4 linked regions of the Arabidopsis thaliana genome follow. The protein of the gene in region 1 interacts with the protein of each later gene in a biochemical or structural test. Each region holds a gene or a part of one and is shown on either strand. Other genes may lie near its edges. The genes, in order: OST1, EEL, RBOH F and PP2CA.

The links.
Region 2: of the proteins of OST1 (region 1) and EEL, one has a biochemical effect on the other in vitro, tested with the Arabidopsis thaliana proteins (one study listed by BioGRID).
Region 3: of the proteins of OST1 (region 1) and RBOH F, one has a biochemical effect on the other in vitro, tested with the Arabidopsis thaliana proteins (one study listed by BioGRID).
Region 4: of the proteins of OST1 (region 1) and PP2CA, one has a biochemical effect on the other in vitro, tested with the Arabidopsis thaliana proteins (one study listed by BioGRID).

The regions. Positions count from the first base shown.
Region 1 is NC_003075.7:16,269,952-16,275,357, forward strand, and holds OST1 (Protein kinase superfamily protein), read left to right. Parts: upstream 1-1,793; 5' UTR 1,794-2,412; coding exon 2,413-2,583; intron 2,584-2,894; coding exon 2,895-2,969; intron 2,970-3,064; coding exon 3,065-3,166; intron 3,167-3,250; coding exon 3,251-3,304; intron 3,305-3,388; coding exon 3,389-3,481; intron 3,482-3,550; coding exon 3,551-3,643; intron 3,644-3,898; coding exon 3,899-4,003; intron 4,004-4,108; coding exon 4,109-4,207; intron 4,208-4,319; coding exon 4,320-4,518; coding exon of another isoform or gene 4,519-4,565; exon of another isoform or gene 4,566-4,608; coding exon 4,609-4,706; 3' UTR 4,707-4,874; downstream 4,875-5,406. Other genes in the region: AT4G33945 (ARM repeat superfamily protein), read left to right, coding at 167-345, 440-563.
Region 2 is NC_003071.7:17,127,751-17,132,973, reverse strand, and holds EEL (Basic-leucine zipper (bZIP) transcription factor family protein), read right to left. Parts: upstream 3,222-5,223; 5' UTR 3,217-3,221; coding exon 3,199-3,216; exon of another isoform or gene 2,405-3,198; intron 2,201-2,404; exon of another isoform or gene 1,735-2,200; coding exon 1,090-1,734; intron 1,004-1,089; coding exon 932-1,003; coding exon of another isoform or gene 899-931; exon of another isoform or gene 884-898; intron 847-883; coding exon 766-846; 3' UTR 588-765; downstream 1-587. Other genes in the region: AT2G41080 (pentatricopeptide (PPR) repeat protein), read right to left, coding at 1-372; AT2G41060 (RNA-binding (RRM/RBD/RNP motifs) family protein), read right to left, coding at 4,481-5,223. UniProt on the Arabidopsis thaliana protein: Binds to the embryo specification element and the ABA-responsive element (ABRE) of the Dc3 gene promoter and to the ABRE of the Em1 gene promoter. Could participate in abscisic acid-regulated gene expression during seed development.
Region 3 is NC_003070.9:23,768,098-23,775,801, reverse strand, and holds the start of RBOH F (respiratory burst oxidase protein F), read right to left. Parts: upstream 6,029-7,704; 5' UTR 5,537-6,028; coding exon 4,873-5,536; intron 4,786-4,872; coding exon 4,626-4,785; intron 4,303-4,625; coding exon 4,254-4,302; intron 3,760-4,253; coding exon 3,646-3,759; intron 3,086-3,645; coding exon 2,663-3,085; intron 1,754-2,662; coding exon 1,367-1,753; intron 1,286-1,366; coding exon 1,190-1,285; intron 1,093-1,189; coding exon 977-1,092; intron 906-976; coding exon 738-905; intron 664-737; coding exon 504-663; intron 416-503; coding exon 236-415; intron 137-235; coding exon 8-136; intron 1-7.
Region 4 is NC_003074.8:3,583,258-3,587,838, reverse strand, and holds PP2CA (protein phosphatase 2CA), read left to right. Parts: upstream 1-1,988; 5' UTR 1,989-2,189; coding exon 2,190-2,633; intron 2,634-2,718; coding exon 2,719-3,054; intron 3,055-3,146; coding exon 3,147-3,252; intron 3,253-3,344; coding exon 3,345-3,658; 3' UTR 3,659-4,057; downstream 4,058-4,581. UniProt on the Arabidopsis thaliana protein: Major negative regulator of abscisic acid (ABA) responses during seed germination and cold acclimation. Confers insensitivity to ABA.

The sequences.
Region 1 (5,406 bases):
AATTTTAAATCTTCCTGTCTAGAGAAGATACTTGTGACTACAGGTCACGTCTTTGGCAGTTTTCCACTAGATAGAACGTAATGTCGTGTGAAGAATGTTTCTTGTAGCATTAGGGTCTGAGTGCATAATCCTTGTGGTTGATCCAAGATATACTTGATTGGTTCAGGTGATGTTGATAATCTCTATAATCTGTCTGAGATCACCAGACCACGCAGCCAAGGCTATAGAAGCTGGAGCTGGTGATCTAGCGGTCCAAGCAATGAAGAGGTTCCCAGTAGCTGCTCAAATGCAGAGAAACGCTTGCAACATGATACGGAACATTGCTGTCAGAAGTGCAGAGAACAGGTTTTTGCTCTGTTTCCAATTCTTGTCATCCAACAATATGCACATATCGCAAACTCTTTTATAATATCAAGTTCTGTCTGCATGCACACTACAGAACTATTCTGCTTGCTAATGGAATCGAGAAGCTGATAAGAACTGCTAAAGCCAACAATGAGACATGCAGAGCCGCTGCAACTGATGCACTGAGAGACCTTGGCCTTGATAACTACAATAACTAAGGTCAATCTTTCTCCATTGGTTGGTACTCGCAACAACCGGAATGAATCCAGTTTTTTTTTTCAAAAATTTCATAAACAGTTTGCATTGAGTTCTCTCTTTTGGGTAGAAGGCATTCCGATCTAGTCTTTTTTGCAACGATTGCTTTTGTTCGAATGCTTGAACATGTAGTAAAATTGAAAGGAATTGATTGAAAATTTCGGTGAAAGGTACTCTAAATAGTAAAAAAGTAAATAGAGAAACAGAGGCTTCACAATGAGAAATTTTCATTCATTCACTAAAATCATTCGTTTAGTCAATGAATTTCCTTTATTTAGAAGAAATCGATTTTAGTTTGAAACAAGGACAAAATGTTTGTTTGACTAAAGGGAAGAGAAACAAAGACAAAATGTTCACGTCCATGGAATGATCGAGCTCTAGAAGAGTGTATTGGGAATATTAAGTACGGATATATGTTTTTAAAAGATGATTAAAAAAAAAGTTTGCAGCAAAATCGTCATGTGGATGCGCATAAACAAAAACTTTAGATAGTAAAAATGATGGGCTATAGTGATGATGAGTGCAACTCTATCGGTTTCAGCTTTTAGGTGAAGATCTGACAAGCTAGCCAACAATATCTCGACATTTGTGGTAACTTGTTTTTCTTTTATTTTCCGTTTTTAAATGCGGAAACCCTTTTTATATACCGAAATAGAAAGTAAATCTTTTTAGTGGTCATTAATACATGGAGGTTCCCATGATTAGCCATAAGCTTGTTTAATGCGAGTATATGTTTCATCAGCTCCGTTTCAGGACATATTTAAGGGGCAAAATTAATCCAGTAGCCAAAAATGTACATATGTAAGGGACATATTACGATATTAATATATAGATCCACTAACAGAAAAACTAATTGTTAATTTAAATTATTTCTATTTCATTTTTCACTGTGTTTGATTAAATTAAATTGGGATATAAAATCAATTCAAAATCTGTTATTTTAAATCTCATACCATTCTAGTGCTATATTTTTGAAAACTTAGATATTTTTAGTAACTGTTCTAGGCATAAATTTAATCAATTAATATTTTCATATTTTTTGCTATACTATTTACAATAAGACATATAATAAATCGGAAAAAATTAATGCATAATATTATGGAGAGATAAAACTTACTGAAAAATAAAGAGTAACAAATCACATAGTTTATACTAATACTTTGCCAATAAAAAGAAAGTTTATACTAATTAAAATATTATTTTCTATACTAGTCACGGTAAAAAAAAACATTTCTAAAAACTACAGGCCCCATTGTTTGTCAGAACGTTGTAAGTAGAAAGGGTAAATCCGTCATTTCAAACTATCTCCCATGCTTTGACAAATCACAATTCAACAGTTCACAGAAAAAGCGAAAACTTCTTCTATCTCTCTCATCTTTCTGTTTTGTATAGCTTACTTCAAGCTGTGGTTTAAACAGAACAGAGAAAGCTGTTTCCTTTTTATATTGACAGAGAAAAGGAAAGCTGATAGAGAGAGAGACAGAGAGAGAGAAACAGAGTTCAAGATCACGAGCCTTCCTTCTTCTTCTTCTTCTTCATCGAGAGCGATCAAAGGAACAAAAAGGATCTCAAGAAACCCACTTGTGTTGTTGGTTAGATACTTCACGGGTCTCTGAAAACGTCTCTTTCTCACAACCATAACTTGATCACCCAATACTCCTTTTCTCATCTTAAAGGCTCAAATTCATCCACGTCACACCGTTGTTCATTTCCTCTGATGTCTTGGTGTCGTTAGATATTGTCTCCCAAAAAAGAAATCTTCTTGACACAGAGATTGAAGTCGCAAAGAGACAGAGGAAAGAGGGGGAGAAAATGGATCGACCAGCAGTGAGTGGTCCAATGGATTTGCCGATTATGCACGATAGTGATAGGTATGAACTCGTCAAGGATATTGGCTCCGGTAATTTTGGAGTTGCGAGATTGATGAGAGACAAGCAAAGTAATGAGCTTGTTGCTGTTAAATATATCGAGAGAGGTGAGAAGGTCAGTTTATTTTCTTCTTGTTTTTTCTCCTTAGTCCAATTTTATTTTATGTTTCAATTCACTAGGTTCTTGAATTCAAAAGAAATCATTTTTGTGTGTTCATCATCCAATGAGAGATGTGTGTTTGGTTACTTTATGGTTATGAATGGTTTAACCCTATAGATTTACAAAATTGATTGATTTTTATGGAAGACCAAATTTGCTCTGCTTTGCTTTATGACTTATGTTGTATAGTGTTGTTTTAAAGGCTCTAGGTGTTTCTTTTGTTATGGAACGTGGTATTAATGGTGGGACTTTTTGTATTTGTACAGATAGATGAAAATGTAAAAAGGGAGATAATCAACCACAGGTCCTTAAGACATCCCAATATCGTTAGATTCAAAGAGGTTTGTTTTCAACTCTCTTTTAAGCTGTTTTCTTATTATTAACATTTTCAGGAAAAAAAAGGAATTCTATAATTTAATCCTTAGGATTGCTTCAGGTTATATTAACACCAACCCATTTAGCCATTGTTATGGAATATGCATCTGGAGGAGAACTTTTCGAGCGAATCTGCAATGCAGGCCGCTTCAGCGAAGACGAGGTTGTTCTCTCTTTTTTTTCTTGCTTTGATGATTAATCGAAGATTCAAAATGCTGAGGCTAATATATCGTTTACTATCATGTAGGCGAGGTTTTTCTTCCAGCAACTCATTTCAGGAGTTAGTTACTGTCATGCTATGGTAATGAAAAATGCTCTCTATCAAATCAATGCTTCATCCTCTGTGAAATTCAGCTGACTTAAGAAGTTAAATTTTATGTTGTAGCAAGTATGTCACCGAGACTTAAAGCTCGAGAATACGTTATTAGATGGTAGCCCGGCCCCTCGTCTAAAGATATGTGATTTCGGATATTCTAAGGTATCTTTGAAAACATTTCAGAAACTCTGAGTTAGTTAGTATCTCTAAGCTTTGTGTTTTCTTTTTCAGTCATCAGTGTTACATTCGCAACCAAAATCAACTGTTGGAACTCCTGCTTACATCGCTCCTGAGGTTTTACTAAAGAAAGAATATGATGGAAAGGTACTCCATTTTCATAGTTCCCAAACTAGTATGATAACCATATCTTATAGAAAGAACAATCTTTGTATTTTTATCCTCTGATTATAGATAGGGGAAACATGCTTTCTCTTGATGAAAGCTCACACAAATAAAACAATCTTGGCTCTTCAAGAATTTTGGTGAAGAAAGCTATTAAGAGTCTGATTTGTAAACTGATAATTCTTGAGTTTTGGTTGAATTAGTCAAATGCATCCTAATGTTCTTCTTTTTTTTCAGGTTGCAGATGTTTGGTCTTGTGGGGTTACTCTGTATGTCATGCTGGTTGGAGCATATCCTTTCGAAGATCCCGAGGAACCAAAGAATTTCAGGAAAACTATACATGTGAGCCTTTCACTTTCTTCATGCTTCAATAGTTGAAAAATGTAATTATGGATTTTATTACTTGCTAGCTAAACTATCTGTTCTCTTGTGAAAATATTTGCTCAGAGAATCCTGAATGTTCAGTATGCTATTCCGGATTATGTTCACATATCTCCTGAATGTCGCCATTTGATCTCCAGAATATTTGTTGCTGACCCTGCAAAGGTAAAGGAAGGATCATGAAAGCTGCATTTGTTGATTTATTTGTGAATTTTCTTTATAGTATGACTGAAAAGAGAACTTTGCATTTTGGCCCTCTTGGTTGGTTTCTTGGCAGAGGATATCAATTCCTGAAATAAGGAACCATGAATGGTTTCTAAAGAATCTACCGGCAGATCTAATGAACGATAACACGATGACCACTCAGTTTGATGAATCGGATCAACCGGGCCAAAGCATAGAAGAAATTATGCAGATCATTGCAGAAGCAACTGTTCCTCCTGCAGGCACTCAGAATCTGAACCATTACCTCACAGGTGAGACAACACAAAACATAAACTTTTCGATTTCTTGTCTTTTTTAATGCTTCTCAATGTTTGAAAAACTTATCATTAATGGATAAACAGGAAGCTTGGACATAGATGACGATATGGAGGAAGACTTAGAGAGCGACCTTGATGATCTTGACATCGACAGTAGCGGAGAGATTGTGTACGCAATGTGATACTATATATCTATTTGCATGGTTTCTGCTACAAAAATGTCAAACAAAAAATGTTGAAGAATAAGATTAAGATGTTTTGCTTGCTATTGAGTTGGCCCAACTTTGTCTCAATGAGTACACTTTGAATCTTTGATATGCAAAAGACTAAATTTCTAAACAAAAGTGAAAAAAAAAAAAAAAAACATTTTCATCAATCAGTATTTTATCTACTCTCTCTAGTATTTTTTGTTTGTTTTTCTAATAATACTAGAAACAAAATTGTTAAACTAATTTGGAGAAGTTGACAACTAAACAACATATAGGCTATGCAAAAGATAAAGAAATCGATATTCTGTAGTACTATACAGATTAAAGTGGGTACTTGATAATATCAAACTGAAGTAAATAGATGGGGCATATCTTGAAGACTTGAACTATATGGAAATAAGATGATATTCCCATTTTCACAAAAAATACAAAAACAGCATAAATGTAGATGGAACACATTCATTAATAATTTAATATGCATGTTATATGTTCAGAAGGACATACGTACGGTAATTCGCTTTAAATTAAAAAAGATGCTTATTCACGCATCTTCGTTTTTTTTCTTTTCTAAATATTTTTCGAATAATAAATTGATAATGAACCAGTACTTGATAGTTGTTCTTGTTCATTGAAATTAATATTATTCCTACTTTAAAAAATACTCAATGTTTTT
Region 2 (5,223 bases), on another chromosome or scaffold:
GCCTGCACGAACATACCCATTGATGAGTATGTTAGATGACATATAATTCTTCTTACGCATACGTCCATATACTGCAACAGCGGAAGGAAAATCTCCAAGCTTGGAGTACATGCTCATCAGATGATTGCATATGAACTTGTCGGAGGAGAATCCGGAGACGACGAGAAGACAATGGAGCTGCTTTCCGGACGGAAGAGATTGTCTGGTGGTGCATGATTGAATAAAAGGGGTGAAGAGAGAAGTGTTTGTGAAGATGTTGAGTCGGAATCTCTGGAAAGCTTCTCGAAGGTTACCCTTTGAGCACAAAGTAGCTATGGCTGTCGCAGGATCTACTGATAGTGGACGAACAACAGAGGAAACTGAGCAACGCATTTACTATTGAATTGCCGGAGATTGTTTCCGATTTGGATTCTCAGGGACTGTCGTTGCTCGAAGAAGAAGAAGGAACGAATAATTAGACACTCGATTTAATTGGGCCGTAATCAGAAGCCCAATAAGTATTAGTAACCAAGTATCAAAAACGGTTTAGCATAACCATCAATCTATTGCTTAATTGTGTAAGGTACTAAAACTATTGTCGAATTCATACTTGAACTAGTGTTTGTACTCAAAAAGTTTGAACTAGCTGCAAAAGAGGAATACACTCAAGAAATGTTTATAAAGACATGCTGTTCAAAGTCAATAAAGTCTACACAATATACAAAGAACAAAGCGGTCTGATATAAACCAACACAAAGAAGAAGAAAGAAAGAAGAGTCTTTAGGATCAGAGAGAAGCAGAGTTTGTTCGCCGGAGCTTCCACTTAGGATCTGGTGGTGGTTCACTTGGTAGGATCTTCTCCACCTCCTGCCATTATAATCAGATTAAAGAAAACCACTAAATCTAAAACGACACTAGATCATGAAGCAAGCTGCAGAGATGGGATTTTTACCTTTAGCCTCCGAAGTTTTTCGTTTTCTTCTTCTAACCTTGAAACCTTGATCTCTAATTCATGTGTATAAGCCTGCAAGTTTCAATGTGATGACTAGACCAACTAACAACAAACAAACAAATATTAACTAAGTAAAAACACAATGTCAAGTTCTTAACCTGTTTCCTAGCTCGTGAACGTGCTGCAGATTCTCTGTTCTTGATCATCCTCTTCTGTCTCCTCTCAACAGTCTTCTCCACAATCTCTCCAGCTACTCTTTTCCTCCCAGGCGCTTGTGGTGTATCCGATAATCCACCCATCATCACCATATCTTGCATCTCGCAAACCGGATATGTCATAAACCCTTGTTGTTGTTGAGGCTGATGATGATACTCAACCCATTGCCCATTTGAAGCTATGTTAACAACATTTTCTTGAGGGACTACTGTCTCAGTCACTACACCAGCTCTCAACAACAAATCCTCAAGTGTTATTTCACCGAGTGTAGGCTGCTTATGAGTAGTAGTAGTACTAGTACCGTTTCCATTCTTGTCCTGTTGGATATCTCTCCAGACCTCATCAACTGTCTTTTTACTGAGATCTCGAGGTAACGTCAAGCTTCCCTGACGAACAAGCCCTTCCTCAGCTGGTGGCAAGACAGTCTTGAGAAGCTCATCAAGGTTCATGCTTCCTAGTGGTTTTCCAGAACTTCCTAAGTGGGTTTGAACCTCATGGAGCTTTAAGCTATAGAGAGAGTTCTGCCTCGTTAATGACTGAGATATAGGCTCTTCAATGTTTCCTCTAATAGAACCCATATATGTAGCCTTTACACAGAAAACAATAACAATTTAGTAATCCTGGTTCAATCTAAACAACTAAAAAATCGAGAATCTCTAAGGTACTAACAAACAATCAGGGAATTTGCATGCAGTATTCGAGTGCTTAAAAACGCAGATAACAACTCAACTAGAGAAATGAGAGGTGGCAGGAGATTGTGAATAAGGGAACAAAAGTTTAAGGATGATGTTGAAAGTGGCTTCAAGTTTCAAAAAAGGAGATTAAGAAGGAGTAGATCGAGAAAAAGAGAGAAAGGAGCTTGGGTTCTCTCTGTCCAAGTGGTGGGTCTGAGACAAATCTTTGGTATGAGTAGAGAGATTATAAAACCAAACATACATGCTCTCTTCTCTTCTCTCTCTCTCTCTCTATCTCCTGAGTTTCTCCACAGGAGAGAAATAGTAGAAAGAGAAAGAGAAATAGTAGAAAGAGAGCTTATTTTGCCTTAGAAACTGTTACACTCGAACTTTAAACTGTGCCTCTGAGGACATTTCAATTAAAAGCTACTTTCTTTTAGAATAAACACAAACAAACAAAAAACAATAGTGTCCGTACTTATGATCATATATGAAAGTATTAACTTATGAACGCTTTTGAAAGTAAGTTTATTCCCTACGAATAATAAACCTAATATTCGAATCTTACAAAAAATCAAAAACATTGTGCAAGGTTATTATATAATCACTTTAGATTTGTTACATCACTTTCTCTAAAAAGACTTGTCATTCTCAAACATAAGTTTCCCAAAGTGAGTTTCTTATATGAAAAAGTGAGAATGGGAAGTAACCAAGAAGGTGTTATTGGAAAATAAACCAAAACCAAAAAATTATGATAAAAAAGATTCGTTGTATAATGGTAAAAAAAGGAGTAAAATGAGAAAAGAAGAAAGAGGAGGGGGACAAAGGGAGAAAGGGACCACATGGGAGAATCGGGGAGCTTTGCATGAAGATCCGCGTGTGCTTCCTCTTTGGGATGTTCTCCCACGTGTTTCTGTTTCCCTTTTCTCTTTCTTTATTACTCTCCTTTCTTCTTCTTATCATACAACATCAAAATGTCAAAGACTCTACTTCCTTGTATAGATTTGTCCTCAATCTGAGCAAACCCACACAGAGCATACCCTTGAACTATGTGTGGCAGCTTGATCCTGTCACATAGAGAACAAGAACATACACTCTATCTGGCTGTACCAACTTAGGTCTCCTAAGAATCAAGTGTTCAAATAGCTTCATAAGTTATCAATAACATAAGGGCCTAGAGGGCAACTAGGTAGAACCTTAGCACTTAGCATTAGAGAATGACTAAGTAGATACTCTGGTTCCTATAAACTAAGCTCTGATTCAACATACAAAAGAAACAGTTCAAACCGAGAAGCACGCTTGTGTAAGAACTTAACACCATCAATTCAATGTTCTATAGTTAATACAAATCTTCACAATGCAAACAGTTATACTCACCTTTAACTGGGAAGACATTTCAGAGCTCCCATGATGCCACAGCAAAACACCAATTCCAGCTGTGTTACCAAACTCGGTGTTATTCTAAGGCACATTACCAAATTTTTTGAGATGTGGTCAAATGGAAAGCTCATTCAAAGCTATAGAAACAGTAGAGAACTCCAAGGACACACAAGAAACAAGCTGCTCTAAATCAAGTCAAAAACTTGACATGTGCAGGTCAAGACTTGTTGATACTTATTAGTACAAAACAAAACAAGTTGCTCTTTTGGATTCAGGTAGATGCCTAGCTAAGTTAAACAAGAAAACAACTTTTGCTTAATTCGTTCTTTAGTTATAAAGCTACCAATTCATAGATTCATCCCTTTTCACTTTTCAGTATATATAAAAGAAAAAGCAGATAGGTGGCATTCAAATATTTGGTACCCCATAGATTTTTGTTGGGCGTAAGTGTTGACCGTTCAGCTTGCTCTTAAATTACCTGCAAGAGGAATAAGGATTAAGCAGATATAATATGTGGTAATCAAGATAAGCCGTTATGTACATATGCATAGTGATGTGTGATCATACTCTCACAAGGTCAAAATCTTAAGAGGAATTACGTGCATGGAAAAATTCCACAAAACCGCGAAACATAGCGAGAACCAATAAAAACGAGTCTGATTAAGAGAAAATGGAAAATACGGATTCAAACATAGTGAAAGCGTTTGTGTGTCCATGAGGAACACTGTTTAAGTTTTACAAATGAAAACGTTCCCAAAAGTTTAAAACAGAAACGATAGTTGTTAAATCAGAACAGTGTATTTGGGATATCATAAAAAGAGTTGAGAAAACAAGTAGGGGAAAACTAAAACTTCTTGAAAGGTTTGAAGAGTCATGTATTTTGAAGACACGAAAGAGTAACATTTCATCCAAAAACTAAACAACTCCATTTGCATCAGCTCCTTAATAACTTCAGAAGATTCACCAGGCCAATTTTAAAAAGTACTGTATTGGAATATCTGCACAATGAATTAAGAAATTAAGAGAAGACTTTTATAAACTGATGCAAAACCTAACACCCTTCAGAAACACAACAAAGTCACAGGAACTTTGAAAACAAAATGATCTTGCAACGCAAAAAGTTTAACATAATGGAGTAACCATGAAAAGGTCAAAATACAGCAAGTCCATGTCTTGAAATACACAAGGGAACCAAGCGAACTACAAAAAAAGTCTTCTGATACAGAACATCAATGAAATAGATGAAAAGAAGCTGAAAATAATTACCTGAGTGGCTAATCTAACGACCCATGTAAGGACCACCATACCCAGCACCATGCTGCCCTCTTCCCGCACCGCCCTGACCAGGTTGCTGAGTCTGATAACCGCCCTGGTACCCGGCTTGAGCACCGTACCCAGGATAGACCCCAGGTGAGATATTTGCTTGAGTACCATAGCCACTTGGCATTCCACCTACAGCTCCTGGGCTAGCTGTCCCTAATGTCCCCAACAAAGCCTGCCCAAATGCTTGGTTTAAACCCAACCCAGCACCCTGAGATGCCAGCAAAGCTGTGAGGGCCTGGCCAATGGCCGGATTAAACGCCTGCACAGCTTGGTTATTACCAGCTATGAAATGTCCATGGCCTCCAGGGGCACCATAACCATTGTTGTCGTTCCTTTGGTAACGGGAATTTTGATTGTGAGAGTTATGGTTATGTTGATGTTGCTTAACCTGTTTTGGCCCATCATTTGCTTTGTGGCAATGCAAGACATGGCCTTCAAAAGTCTTGTGTGGCTCCTCCAATGCCTTCTTGGCACTTTCTAGGGATCTATAGACAAACAAAGCGAAACCTTTAGGTCTCCCAGTAGCTTTATCAAGCCCCAAAGGACCTTCTTCTATCTCCCCAAACCTTGAGAAAAACTCCAGCAACTTCTGCGGATCAATGTCTGCACTAACGTTACTGACATAAATCTTCCTCTGAACATTCTCAGGATTGAAATGCTGAGCAGGAGCCACAACAGGGTTCCCCTGAACAGGTCCTA
Region 3 (7,704 bases), on another chromosome or scaffold:
AACGTACCCTAGTGCCAGAGACAATGTCGACACCATTTTTGGCATGATTAAGAGCTTGAACCATTGTAATGAGAGCAGAACGAGCATCACCTTCTTCATACACACTTGTTAAATAGTTATGCATCTCTATCACACCCTGTTCCACACAATTTTTTTTTTTGATTTTCTCACATTGAATCTTCTCGGGAAAATTTTGATTGTGTCTGTCAAGAAATGTTTTGAGTTTGTTTATTACCCGTTGGTCAAGTTCTGCAACTTCGTTCATGACACCTTTGAACCAATCAAAAGAGCCTTGTTCTCTTGTGACCCAGTAGAAATAAGCATTTGTGGTTTTTAGTATTCTCTTTCGTCTTGGCGTGTCACCGTTGCTTCCTGTGCTGTATTCTGATGATCTACTGAAATCCGAGATCGAATCCTGAAGACGTAAAAACATTTTTATCAAACTTGACATCTTTATTTATTTGTCTGCACAAGAGAGAATAAGATAAGACTTGGTTTATTACCGCATGCTCTTCCATTTTAACAATGTTGTTAAGCAAATCTTTCAAGATACTGATAAATGGAGTTGCACCAATGCCAAGACCAACTAATAAGAGAACATCATATTTCCTATAATCTTGTGCTGGTGCACCGTACGGTCCATCTATCAATAGCTTTGGCAAACTGAAACAACATTTAACTAAACATATCAGCATTTGGTTAATTTATAAGTGTTTGGTTTTGTTTTCGTGTTATACCTTTTCTTTGTTGTTTCGTCGGCTCTGAGAAGTCCGCTTTTACCGCCAACCGGTGGCTCACAAACTTCAGAGAATACTCTTTTGAGTTCTTGAGTCCAATCACCAAGTTGTCTAATGTGAATGCTGATATAATCATCTTCAGGTGCGGAAGTAATTGAGAATGGATGCCTAAAACGAAATACAAATCAGTAAGACAGATGATTTGGTTGGTATCAAAAACTGTTATGAATAATTCTTACCACTCGAATGGCGAAACCGCAGGACATTGGACAAACATGTATTGTCCGCTTTTGTAACGAAATTGAGTTGGTTTCGACATTTGTAGCGTTAGAACATTACCAGGATATATAGCAACCTACAAGGAAAAATCAAAAGAAGTTAGCTTATTCTACAAGACAATGAGAAAGTAAAGAAAACAGAGTCCTCTGTTTTAGTTTTTGTTTTTCACTTACCTTAAGCAGTCGAACCGAATAAGAACCAGAACGGAAGTACCTAAGTGTTCTTTCTCCACCATAGAGTAAAACTGGTACTGCAAGATACATCCATGTCTGCAAAAAACAACATCTCAAAATCAAAATCAAGATTATATATGGTCAACAATTACTAAGCTTAGAATCATGGAGACTTACCGTACGAACATACCAAGGCTTGGCGAAATAGAGGAAGATACCATGAAGAATAAGCAAGATATAAACAATGACGAACAAATGATGCGAATACCAAAAGGCGTTAAAACCGGTTAGTCGATCAAATGGCTTAGGAAGCTTGACTAGGTTACGCCTAAACCATCTTGTTGCTAATGTGAATGAAATAATCATCAAAATGACCATTAAAATCCCAGTGATTCCTTCAGGTCCCTTAACGAGGTCGAAGTATGTTGGCTGTTTTGTTTGAAAGTAATGAAACAGATACCGATTGTAATCGTATTCGGTGGCTCTAACAATTCTAGGGAAATCACAAGCAAGATGGTCTCCAATATGAAGGATCACAGCTACTACAATGGCTCCAGCAATTGTCTGCACATAACAAAAAAACCAAAAAAAAGAGCAGTGAGTTAAAATTTTCTATCAAAATAGTTTAGTGAGTAGAGCATTGGTTTCTTACTTTATGAAAGTTTAAAATGATCAAATAAGAATTTTTTCCCCACTACAACACAACCTTCACTTTTAAAGGTGAGCATTTCTAAAACCAAAACCAAGACCAAACCAAAATTAATCTTAGTTTATTTACTGAAACCAAGCTTATACAACCAAAGCAAACCAAATAAACTGCAACTAATGAAAAATTTAATTTGTTATTTAAATATACCAAAACCAATCTTACTATATGTAATGTACTTAACTGAATTAGAAAATAAAAATTTGCATGTGAAGTTATCTTTGGTGCAAAACCGAACCAAACCATATAAGAAAACCAGACTAATTTTATTCGAACTAAACAAAAAAAATTGATTTTAATTCGGTATAGCTTTTCAAAATTTTATTCAAAACAGCTGTATATGAAGTTGTTTTTTTTGCAACATAGAGACAAAAAATTTCAAACTGAATTAAAAGTTCAGCTCTAATTCCGTATAAGACTTTCCTAACCAAACCTAAATTCCACATGCCTTAATCTTATTCACTTTTCTTTAGTGGCAAAAAAATGTAAGAAATGAGAAAGAGAGAACCAAAAAAAAAAAAAAAAAGAGAAAGCGAAATAGCTGTTTAGCTGTCATGTCAATGTTCCAGTGCGTGCACAAAGAATATGAGCCCCACAACAATCTCAGCTTTTTTGACAGCACATTGCGTTCGATGAGGATTTTGTATCTCTAATTAGTATTGGTTTTGACTTCTATAGAAGCACGAAAAGAAAGTTCTTATGGGACCCTAAAAAGTAGAAATCAAAAGTAAAAAACAAACAAACAAAAAGGTTTATAGCTCACTAACCTTGTGGAAGTTGATATTATCATCAAAAGGAACGAAGTAAGAGAGTCTTGTGGATCTAAGCCAAGTAATGGTGTTTCTGCAAACTGGGAAAAGTATTAGAGCCATGTTGAATTTAAGTGTTTCAGCTGCTCCTTTGGCTGTGAGTAAACAATATCCCATCACATGAAATGCATCTTTTTGCTTGTATTGGAAGAATTTCCACAAGAATAATCCGATCATGATCATGATCCATAAGGATAAAACCCATATCCTTTTCCAATTCTCTTGCATAATGTAGACGAAATCCGAACTCATTCTATGTATTCGACTCTTTCCCCTTAACCCTTGAAGGTTTTGGCTCAATGCTTGGCTCGTATAGCTCAATGCTTGACTGTAATTGAGGTATGTGTCTTTTTGTAGAAGCAAAGTCTCTAGTTGCCATAGCTACACAAGAAGAAAATAAAAGAGCATTAAAATGTATGAAATATTTGCCTTGATGAATCATTTAACTTCTATAGATAAATATAACATTCAAGATGTAGCAGTCACATGTTTTTTTTTTCTTTTCAAACTCTATCTTCTAGCTAGCAATTGAAATAGTCTATTGTAACTACTTCACCTACCATTGAGTTGATGAAATAGAAAAAAAAAAAGTTTTTATACTATATTTGAGCTACTGAATCTATACTTTATAATGGACAACTATTCTAGGTGTCAGCAAAATGAGATAAGAGTAGAAAAAAAGCAAACATGAAATAATTTAATGCTATAGTAAAAGAAATTGGCTCCTTTTTTCTTATAACATGTGAGGTCATACATTATATAAAAGAATTATTGAATTCCTATTTATGGGCGGCGGTTTTACATACTTTATTCCGTTTGGGTAACGAAAGTATTGAAAATATTTTGCAATAATATAATACTCACATCATGCAAGCACGGAAACAAAGCATGTGATGGTGGAAAAAGATTCAAAGATTTGTACAGTGTGTATTAAAACCAACCTCTATGTAGCCAAGTCTTTCAGGATCTAACTCTTCCATAATCAAAGCTGCATATTCCTCTGCTTGTTCCTTTAATCTTGATAGCTTATTTGCAGATGCACTCAACATTATTATCTAACATATTCAAAGAAAATACAAAAAAGCATAACGATAAGAAGGATTTTTTTCTTCAAAAAATGTTAAGTAAAACATCTCTATTGTATCTTGTGTCACCGTCAAATATTAGATTATATTAAAACAAGTTGATTATTAGTCAAAACTAATTAAACAATAACATATTTCAGCATAATTGAAAACTTAGTTACAGATAAGAATCTAAACGAACATGGTTTAAACTCAAATCAATGACAAGAAAATTCGTATTTTGGTTCTTTGATATTTTTAAAATTTAAATGGAGTGGTTAGTATATCAGCATTTCATGAGATTTAAGGTCACCAAATCCCCGCCTAACTTTGATTATAAATTTAAAAAATCTATTTTGACTACCAGTCCCAGTTTATATTTTATTCTTAAACCTTAACGAAAAAATATGACATTAATTTATGTTTAATTAAATAGTGACAGAATTGATAACACTAATTGTGTTAGTTAGCTAGCATTTAATTACCTCTTTTACTTCCTCTTCTGTAATTCTCCCATCTTCATTCTTGTCCACTCTGTAAAAATGATTAATTATGTAATTAATTATCTTCAATGAAAGTCAAAGGTTTATATTTAAAAACAATAGTTACAAAAATTAAAACATACGCATCGTAAGGAACAATAATTTCTGCACACATGCATCAAATTAAATTACTAGACTGTTTAATTAATTAGGAAGACTGATCTGGAAAAACGCTGAAAATATGGGATCTCTTTATAGTAAAATGACTGTTAGAAACCTTTCTAAAATAATCATTGATTATCAGTAAAAATATGATTAAGAGAGTAATTAAATTAAAGTAATTATTAAGTTTAAGTAACTTTTTCTGTTACGTACATGTCGAAGAAGATCTGGAGACGAGAATCAAAACTCTCGTCGTTGATTTGTGACCAATACTCATAAAGCTCATCGTGATTGATTTTCTCTACTTTTAATCTTCTTCTTCTACTCAATGCATCGAACAGTTCCAATGCAAATTCTTTCGAATCTTTCATTCCTGTCAACAACAACAACAAAAAAAACACAAATCAAGATTTGAGTAAATTTCGAAATCTCTAGAGTTTCTTCTAGAGTTTTTACGAACCTATGCATTGAGCGAAATCGGAGCGATAGATGTAACCATTTTTTTCGAATTTTTCGAAATTTGATTGAACATCGTTCCAACCATCAACGTTCTTTTGCTTATTGCTAATGAATCTCAAACCACGAAGAGCTCTTTGAGCACTAGACCGAGTCCGATCTAACTGAGCACGTTGCTTTCGCAACGCTCGCGCTTCTAAAGCCGAGTTCACCAAACCACCACCAGCACCGCCGCTTTGATTAGCGGCGGTACTAGTAGTGGTTAAGTTACCTGAGAAAGAACGAGACCATGAGAATCGTTTCAACTCCTGAGATAACTGTTTCGCTTTCGCCACAGCTTCGGCTTTAAGCTCTTGTGAGAATTGTCGGAACCGATTAGATGAAGTTCGTTTCATCGTCGGAGATCTCGAAATCGAAACCGGAGTCATTATTCCGGTGTTGTCGTCGGAGATATCTCCGATGACATTAATGGCGGTTGCTGGCTCGACGCTACGAAGAACGATTGTGTCATCGTCTTGAAGATCGATTGTGACTTCAACGAACTCTTGATCACCGTTAATGGAGTATTCAGTTCCCGGTGAAGTTGATGCACTTCCGACGGCGGTTTTTCCGGCGGAAACTGAATCAAATGACCACCGTCGCCGATCGTTCTTTGAGAACGGTTTCATAGATCCAAAGTCGGAATTCAAAGAGTTGGTTGAAGGATATCGGAAGTATATACACGTAGCATAGATTATATATAAGTATATGTATAGGTTGGTGGAATCTTTGAAGAAAGAGAGAGAGAGAGGGAGAGATGGAGAATTGAAACGCGTCGTTGTGGCTAAGTGGGAAAAGCCATTTTTCACGCGCTGTGAAACTCTCTGCTTTATAGAGAGAACGTTGACGGAGAGAGAGAGATCAACGATGATGGAGATGATTGAACCGGACTGAGAAAAAGTTGACGGAATATACTTTTTTTTTTTTTTGAGTTTTTTTAACTTATAATAGTAATATTATTGGATTTTTGCCACATTTATTTTAATGCAACGAAAAGAAAATCAAAAAGTATTATTGGAGTTGTTTTTTTTCCTTTTCTCAAAATTGGAAATGATTTTTATCTGTTTTTTAGACAAGTGAGACTTTGAGAGTATCTTTGTTGGTCATTCTAGTTTATGCATGGGAAAATGCTATGTTTCTTCAAATATTTTTCTTATAGTAGTTTGCTCTTCAATAAAAAACAATATCAAAACGATTTGGACTTTTAAAAAAATTGAACATTTGATGTGTTAAAGATTTTTTTTTTTTTTGATTAGAGTACCAATTTAATTTTTCATTATATATTTTTCAATAGATATCTTATTCAAATGCACCATAATTATATGAGGTACAACACGATTTTGTATATATGTAACTGTTATTAGTTTAAATTTCTAATCTTATATAGGCAACTTAGTATCAGATTTTGTGTCCAATTTTCATTAGAATTAAACTCGTTATTAATTAGTAGCTAGCAATAAGCACTAAAAACTTCCAATTAGCTATAAATAACATGTAAAGAATATATGTACATATATATAGAAACAACTCGGATGACGTTAGTTCAAGTAATACCAAAGGAATATTTTTAAATCTGAGGTGATTGTGTGTGTGACTGTTGTTTCTCTGCAAGTCTTCTTTTTTTCGTACGTCCGACGCGTTTTATCCAAAGTTGAGCTTGTTTGTGAACTGATGAGAGAAAAAACAAGGACGACGACTTTGAATATAGTTTTTATACATCATTTGTGGAAGCCAGTGTTTTATTAGCGATTGATGTATTGTTGTTAAGTCCACGACTACAAATATTTTGCTCACTTTTGAAAAGAATTTATTGTTAACAAGAACAAATCAAATTTGATAACAACATTTTGTTTTCAGTGCTTCACTAATATAGACTAAAAAGATTTTAGATTAGATCGAACATGTTTAATCATGGGTCGTCCATCATAATCTTGTATTGCCCGTTGGACACTTTTGAGTAATGACACGACGTTGTTTAAGAAGATAGTAGATACATTTCCTCAAAAATATTTATATTCGAGTGGGGTAAACTTTATTTGTATTTGTTTAGTCTATTAATAATAATACTCAAGAAAAACGTTGTGGTTATTAGCCATATTTTTTTTATAAAATCTTTTCTTAGTCAAAAAAAACTTGAAATTTTTGAAAAGTAACGGAATAGAAATGAGATATGAATAGTTTTTTCCATACCTTATAAAATTGTAGCTTAGAATTAGAGATTTAAGGATTGAAAGAACTAAGTAAACTTAGTTTTGATAAATAACCAAAATCAAGCATGTAATATTATCTACCTAACGAAATTAATTATAAATTAAAAAACAGTTAGGGTTAATGGTTCAAACCGAACCATTAGGGTTGAAAAAAGTTTAACCAAATGGGTTAGATGTAGACTACGTCACTACGGTTCGGTTGTTTGGTTTGGTTCGGTTCTGTTTGGTACGATTAAAATGCCCATCATTCTACATCTCTCGGAAATTTGTATGGTTTTGGTTCGGCATCTAATTCAGTTATCAGAAAATAATAACCAAACTCGAATGTGAACCATTTCTATTTTAAGGGGTTGAGTGTTTTCATTTTAATATATAAAGATTTCAATTCAATGTTATGTTGTGCAAACAGTTGTAGTAGTAAATACACAAGTTATAAAACAAAACAAAAACTCCAAGTATGAAAGTGAAATGTGAAAAGATTTGATTTTCAAACGTAACTAATCTCATTTTTAAAAAACATATACGTTTTTCACGTTATACCTAATTTTGGCATCAATTTCAATTTGACGAAATATATTCACTAAAAA
Region 4 (4,581 bases), on another chromosome or scaffold:
AAAGACGACGACGTGTTTTTAAAGACGTGATTGTAGACACCTTTTCATGGACTGTGGAATCGGTGATGTAAGTGAAACCAAGCACAAGTGGGAGGACGAACATTACCACGTGTCGAGTATGCAACACCTATATCGACTAAGCATAGAAGGAATCATGAACAAATAAATAAATAAATCTTGTAATCAATCAATACGAAACCAAAATATCTCAAGCATGGACAATGCGTGTGAATGAGATGAAACCTTTGTAGTCAGATGACTCAGATGATTGATAGTATAAAGTCTTCTATATGTAATTATGGATTGTGGTGTAGGTTTTAATCGTTTTCCAAGTTATGAAATTCTAACATCAAAACTAGGACTAGAAAAAAAACCAAAGCCGAAGATTTATTATATTGGGTTCGAAATTAAACTTGAACCCGAAGATTTACTATATTGGATCCTAAATTTTTTAATCCAAAAAATCTAAGTCGAATCCGAAAATACCGGTATTTTATTCGAAAATCTAAATTTATTCGAAATCTAAAATTTTATCCAAAAATTCAGGTATTTACTCAAAAATTCGGATATCGGTTCTAAAAGGACCCTGAAAATTTATATCCAAACCGATTAAAAACCGATTGGATACAAACTTAAACCAAACCGATATTTTGGATTTATCCCATTGAATCTTAAACTTTTATATCCAAAAAAATCATATCTAATCGGGTTTTACCCGAACTTAACCCAAATGCCCACCTTTAATTATTCAAAACCAAAAAAGAAGTGTTTGATGCTGAGGTTTGAACTCATCAGATACACGTAACTATTTTCCAATTTATTTTCGTTTATGTGCATTTCAGAATTTCAAGCATAAATATACTCTTATTGTTTAAACATTTCAAATTGCATGTGTGAAATAATATCAGAGTTAGAATATATGTTAATCTTCTCTTCTCCTAGATTCAGTTAGATACGTTTCTATCTTCTTTTAGGCAACATCTCTTGTACAAATAGTCTCTTTGGCAATTCAATACAATCAACCTTTTACGATATATATATTTGTTATTTCTTGTACAAATAGGATCAAAATTGTTATTTCTGAAGCAAATTTTCTTTAGTTTGGATGTCAATTATATCCTCGATTAATATGTAATCACGGAACGGATTCACGATGCGTTATTTTAGAAGCAAATTTATACTTGATAGTACGTTCAGAGGCATCGCTTTTGTACAAATTGAAGCGGGTTTGTTCAATATTTAAAATAACACAGGAAACATTCAAATGTATTATTGATGTTGCTTAGGTTTGTGAAATGATATGAACCATATCGTATATATTACTAGATTTTTCTTATATGTTTTAAGGGTAGTGGGGCTGACCTATCATTCTGTTTGGCATTACCAATCAGACTATCAGAGTATTCACCATTCAGGATTCCATAACTAGAAAAAGAAGGGGTTTACATTTTCTCATACTGTATAATTTTCTACTATCAGAGATTTTATCGATTACATTAATCTCATAGTGATTATTCTGATTTATAAAAAAGTTGACAAAATAATTAAAACCAGTATTTTATAACAAGATTGTCTCTCTCCCATGGCCATTATTTTGACCTCTGACTTATTTAAATCTTAATTAACAGCATAATACTGTATTAAGCGTATTTAAATGAAACAAAATAAAAGAAAAAAAGAACAAAACGAAAGAGTGGACCACATGCGTGTCAAGAAAGGCCGGTCGTTACCGTTAAGGTGTGTCGAACTGTGATTGGGCCACGTTAACGGCGTATCCAAAAGAAAGAAAGGGCACGTGTATAGATCTAGGAAAAAAGAAAGAATGGACGGTTTAGATTGTATCTAGGTACCAGGAAATGGAACGTCACACCAAACGGTACGTGTCGGATCCTGCCCGTTGATGCTGACGGTCAGCAACTTCCCCTTATTCATGCCCCCCTGCCCGTTAATTACGTGTAACCCTTCCATGCGAAAATCAAACCCTTTTTTTTTTTTGCGTTCTTCTTCAACTTTTCTTTTTAAATCAAACCTTTTCTTTTTAAAATCACATTGCATTTCCTAACGCTCAACAAAATCTCTCTCTACTAATATCTCTCTCTCTCTCTCTCTATTGTTGAAGAAGACTCATAATCGGAGATTGTTTGTTTTTGGTTTGCTCTGTAAATTGGAGAAGTTTTGTTAGAGATCAAATGGCTGGGATTTGTTGCGGTGTTGTTGGAGAGACTGAACCGGCGGCACCGGTTGATTCAACTTCTCGAGCTTCTCTTAGACGGAGGTTAGATCTACTTCCGTCGATCAAAATTGTTGCTGACTCCGCCGTTGCTCCTCCGCTTGAAAACTGCCGTAAACGGCAGAAGCGTGAGACAGTAGTGCTCTCGACGTTACCGGGAAATCTAGATCTGGATTCGAATGTGAGGAGTGAGAATAAGAAGGCTAGATCAGCGGTTACGAATTCAAATTCTGTTACGGAAGCAGAGAGTTTCTTTTCCGATGTACCTAAGATCGGTACGACGTCGGTTTGTGGTAGAAGACGAGACATGGAAGACGCTGTCTCGATTCATCCTTCGTTTCTTCAACGGAACTCTGAGAATCATCATTTCTACGGTGTCTTTGACGGCCATGGCTGCTCTCATGTACGTTAATTTCCTCTGTTTAGTAATATTTTTTTCTTTTGTTTGTGATTAGTTACTAATTAGGGTTTTGTTTGGTTGATTTTAGGTTGCGGAGAAGTGCAGAGAACGGTTGCATGATATAGTGAAGAAGGAAGTTGAAGTTATGGCTTCCGACGAGTGGACAGAGACGATGGTTAAGAGTTTTCAAAAAATGGATAAAGAAGTTAGCCAACGAGAGTGTAACTTAGTTGTTAATGGTGCTACTCGGAGTATGAAAAATTCTTGTAGATGTGAATTGCAGTCTCCTCAGTGTGACGCCGTCGGATCCACCGCTGTTGTATCGGTTGTCACGCCGGAGAAGATCATTGTTTCTAATTGCGGTGATTCACGGGCTGTGCTTTGTCGTAACGGTGTAGCCATTCCTCTCTCCGTAGATCACAAGGTAGTTAAAATTATGTCTTATATAGAATTACGAATTGGTTAGTATGAATCAAGATGGCATGGTTCTAAGAGTTTTTGTTTTGTGATGAACAGCCGGATCGACCCGATGAATTGATTCGGATCCAACAAGCTGGTGGGCGAGTTATATATTGGGATGGAGCTAGGGTTCTTGGAGTTCTTGCCATGTCTAGAGCAATTGGTGAGTGAATCTCTCTTGTGATTTGACTTTTTAGGCTATTTTGAATTACACGTTTGAATTTAATCTGATGATTATTGTTTTTGTTTGTATAGGTGATAATTACTTGAAACCGTATGTGATTCCGGATCCGGAGGTAACAGTGACGGATCGAACTGATGAGGATGAGTGTTTGATCTTGGCGAGTGATGGACTATGGGATGTTGTACCAAACGAGACGGCGTGTGGCGTGGCTCGCATGTGCCTTCGAGGTGCTGGTGCGGGTGACGACTCAGATGCGGCGCACAATGCGTGCTCCGATGCGGCGTTGCTCTTAACAAAGTTGGCTCTAGCAAGACAGAGCTCCGATAACGTGAGCGTCGTTGTGGTTGACTTGAGGAAGAGGAGGAATAATCAAGCGTCGTCTTAATAATTAGTGTTATAATTAGTAGTAGTATTAGAATAATTGTTACATAGCCTAATTGTAATTGTATTCTTTTTATTTTTCTATTTTAGTTTTTCTCATTTTAAGGTGTTTTTTCTTTTCTATTTTAGTTAGCTCTTAATTCAGGCTGGGGAAGAAAAAGAGCTGATTAAATAGTTTGAGTATTTTTCTTATTTTTCTATTCAGGTAATATTATACATGTATTCTTTTAGTATGGTCGTTGGAAATGTAATAATCTAATTCAGAGGGGAAAAATGTTAAAATGAAAGAACAGATTATGCGTATTTACCATTTTAAAACTTCGGTTAATGTTATTCGATCCGAACTGGTTTAGTATGAGTCTCGACGATGATTTGAATCCAAACCGGTTACTTACTAATCTTCCCCTATCTTAAGAAGATTTTATTTATTTTATTGGTATGGGGTCGTATGGGAGACTCGCGTGTCGTAGACCGCGGCATTTTAGCACATAATTGTAATTAAAAGATTCAAGGATAATATTAGAAACATAAATCAACAAAAATATATATATATCTTGGTGGAAGAGACTAATCTGGACAATCAATATAAGAACTAGAAAGTACAATGATTTATTAATTCTTTTAATACTAATGAAGATAGTTAAGTTAAGAGACTTGTCTGGCAACATTGTCGAATGCTTAATGTCAGTTAAGGTCGGAATCAATAATCAATTAAACAGATTTTGATTAAATTGACTAGAAAATATCAACTAGGAGGGTAAGAAAAAGGAATATGATCTTCACATTCTTTTATAAATAAATTAATATCAACTTGAACAAAAAATAATACATACTTTTAACCGTCCATTACTAGCCACTTGCCAGTTGCCACAATGACCAGATAATAAAATCTTATTCTATTCAATCATGTTTTTATAAACCCTTCAC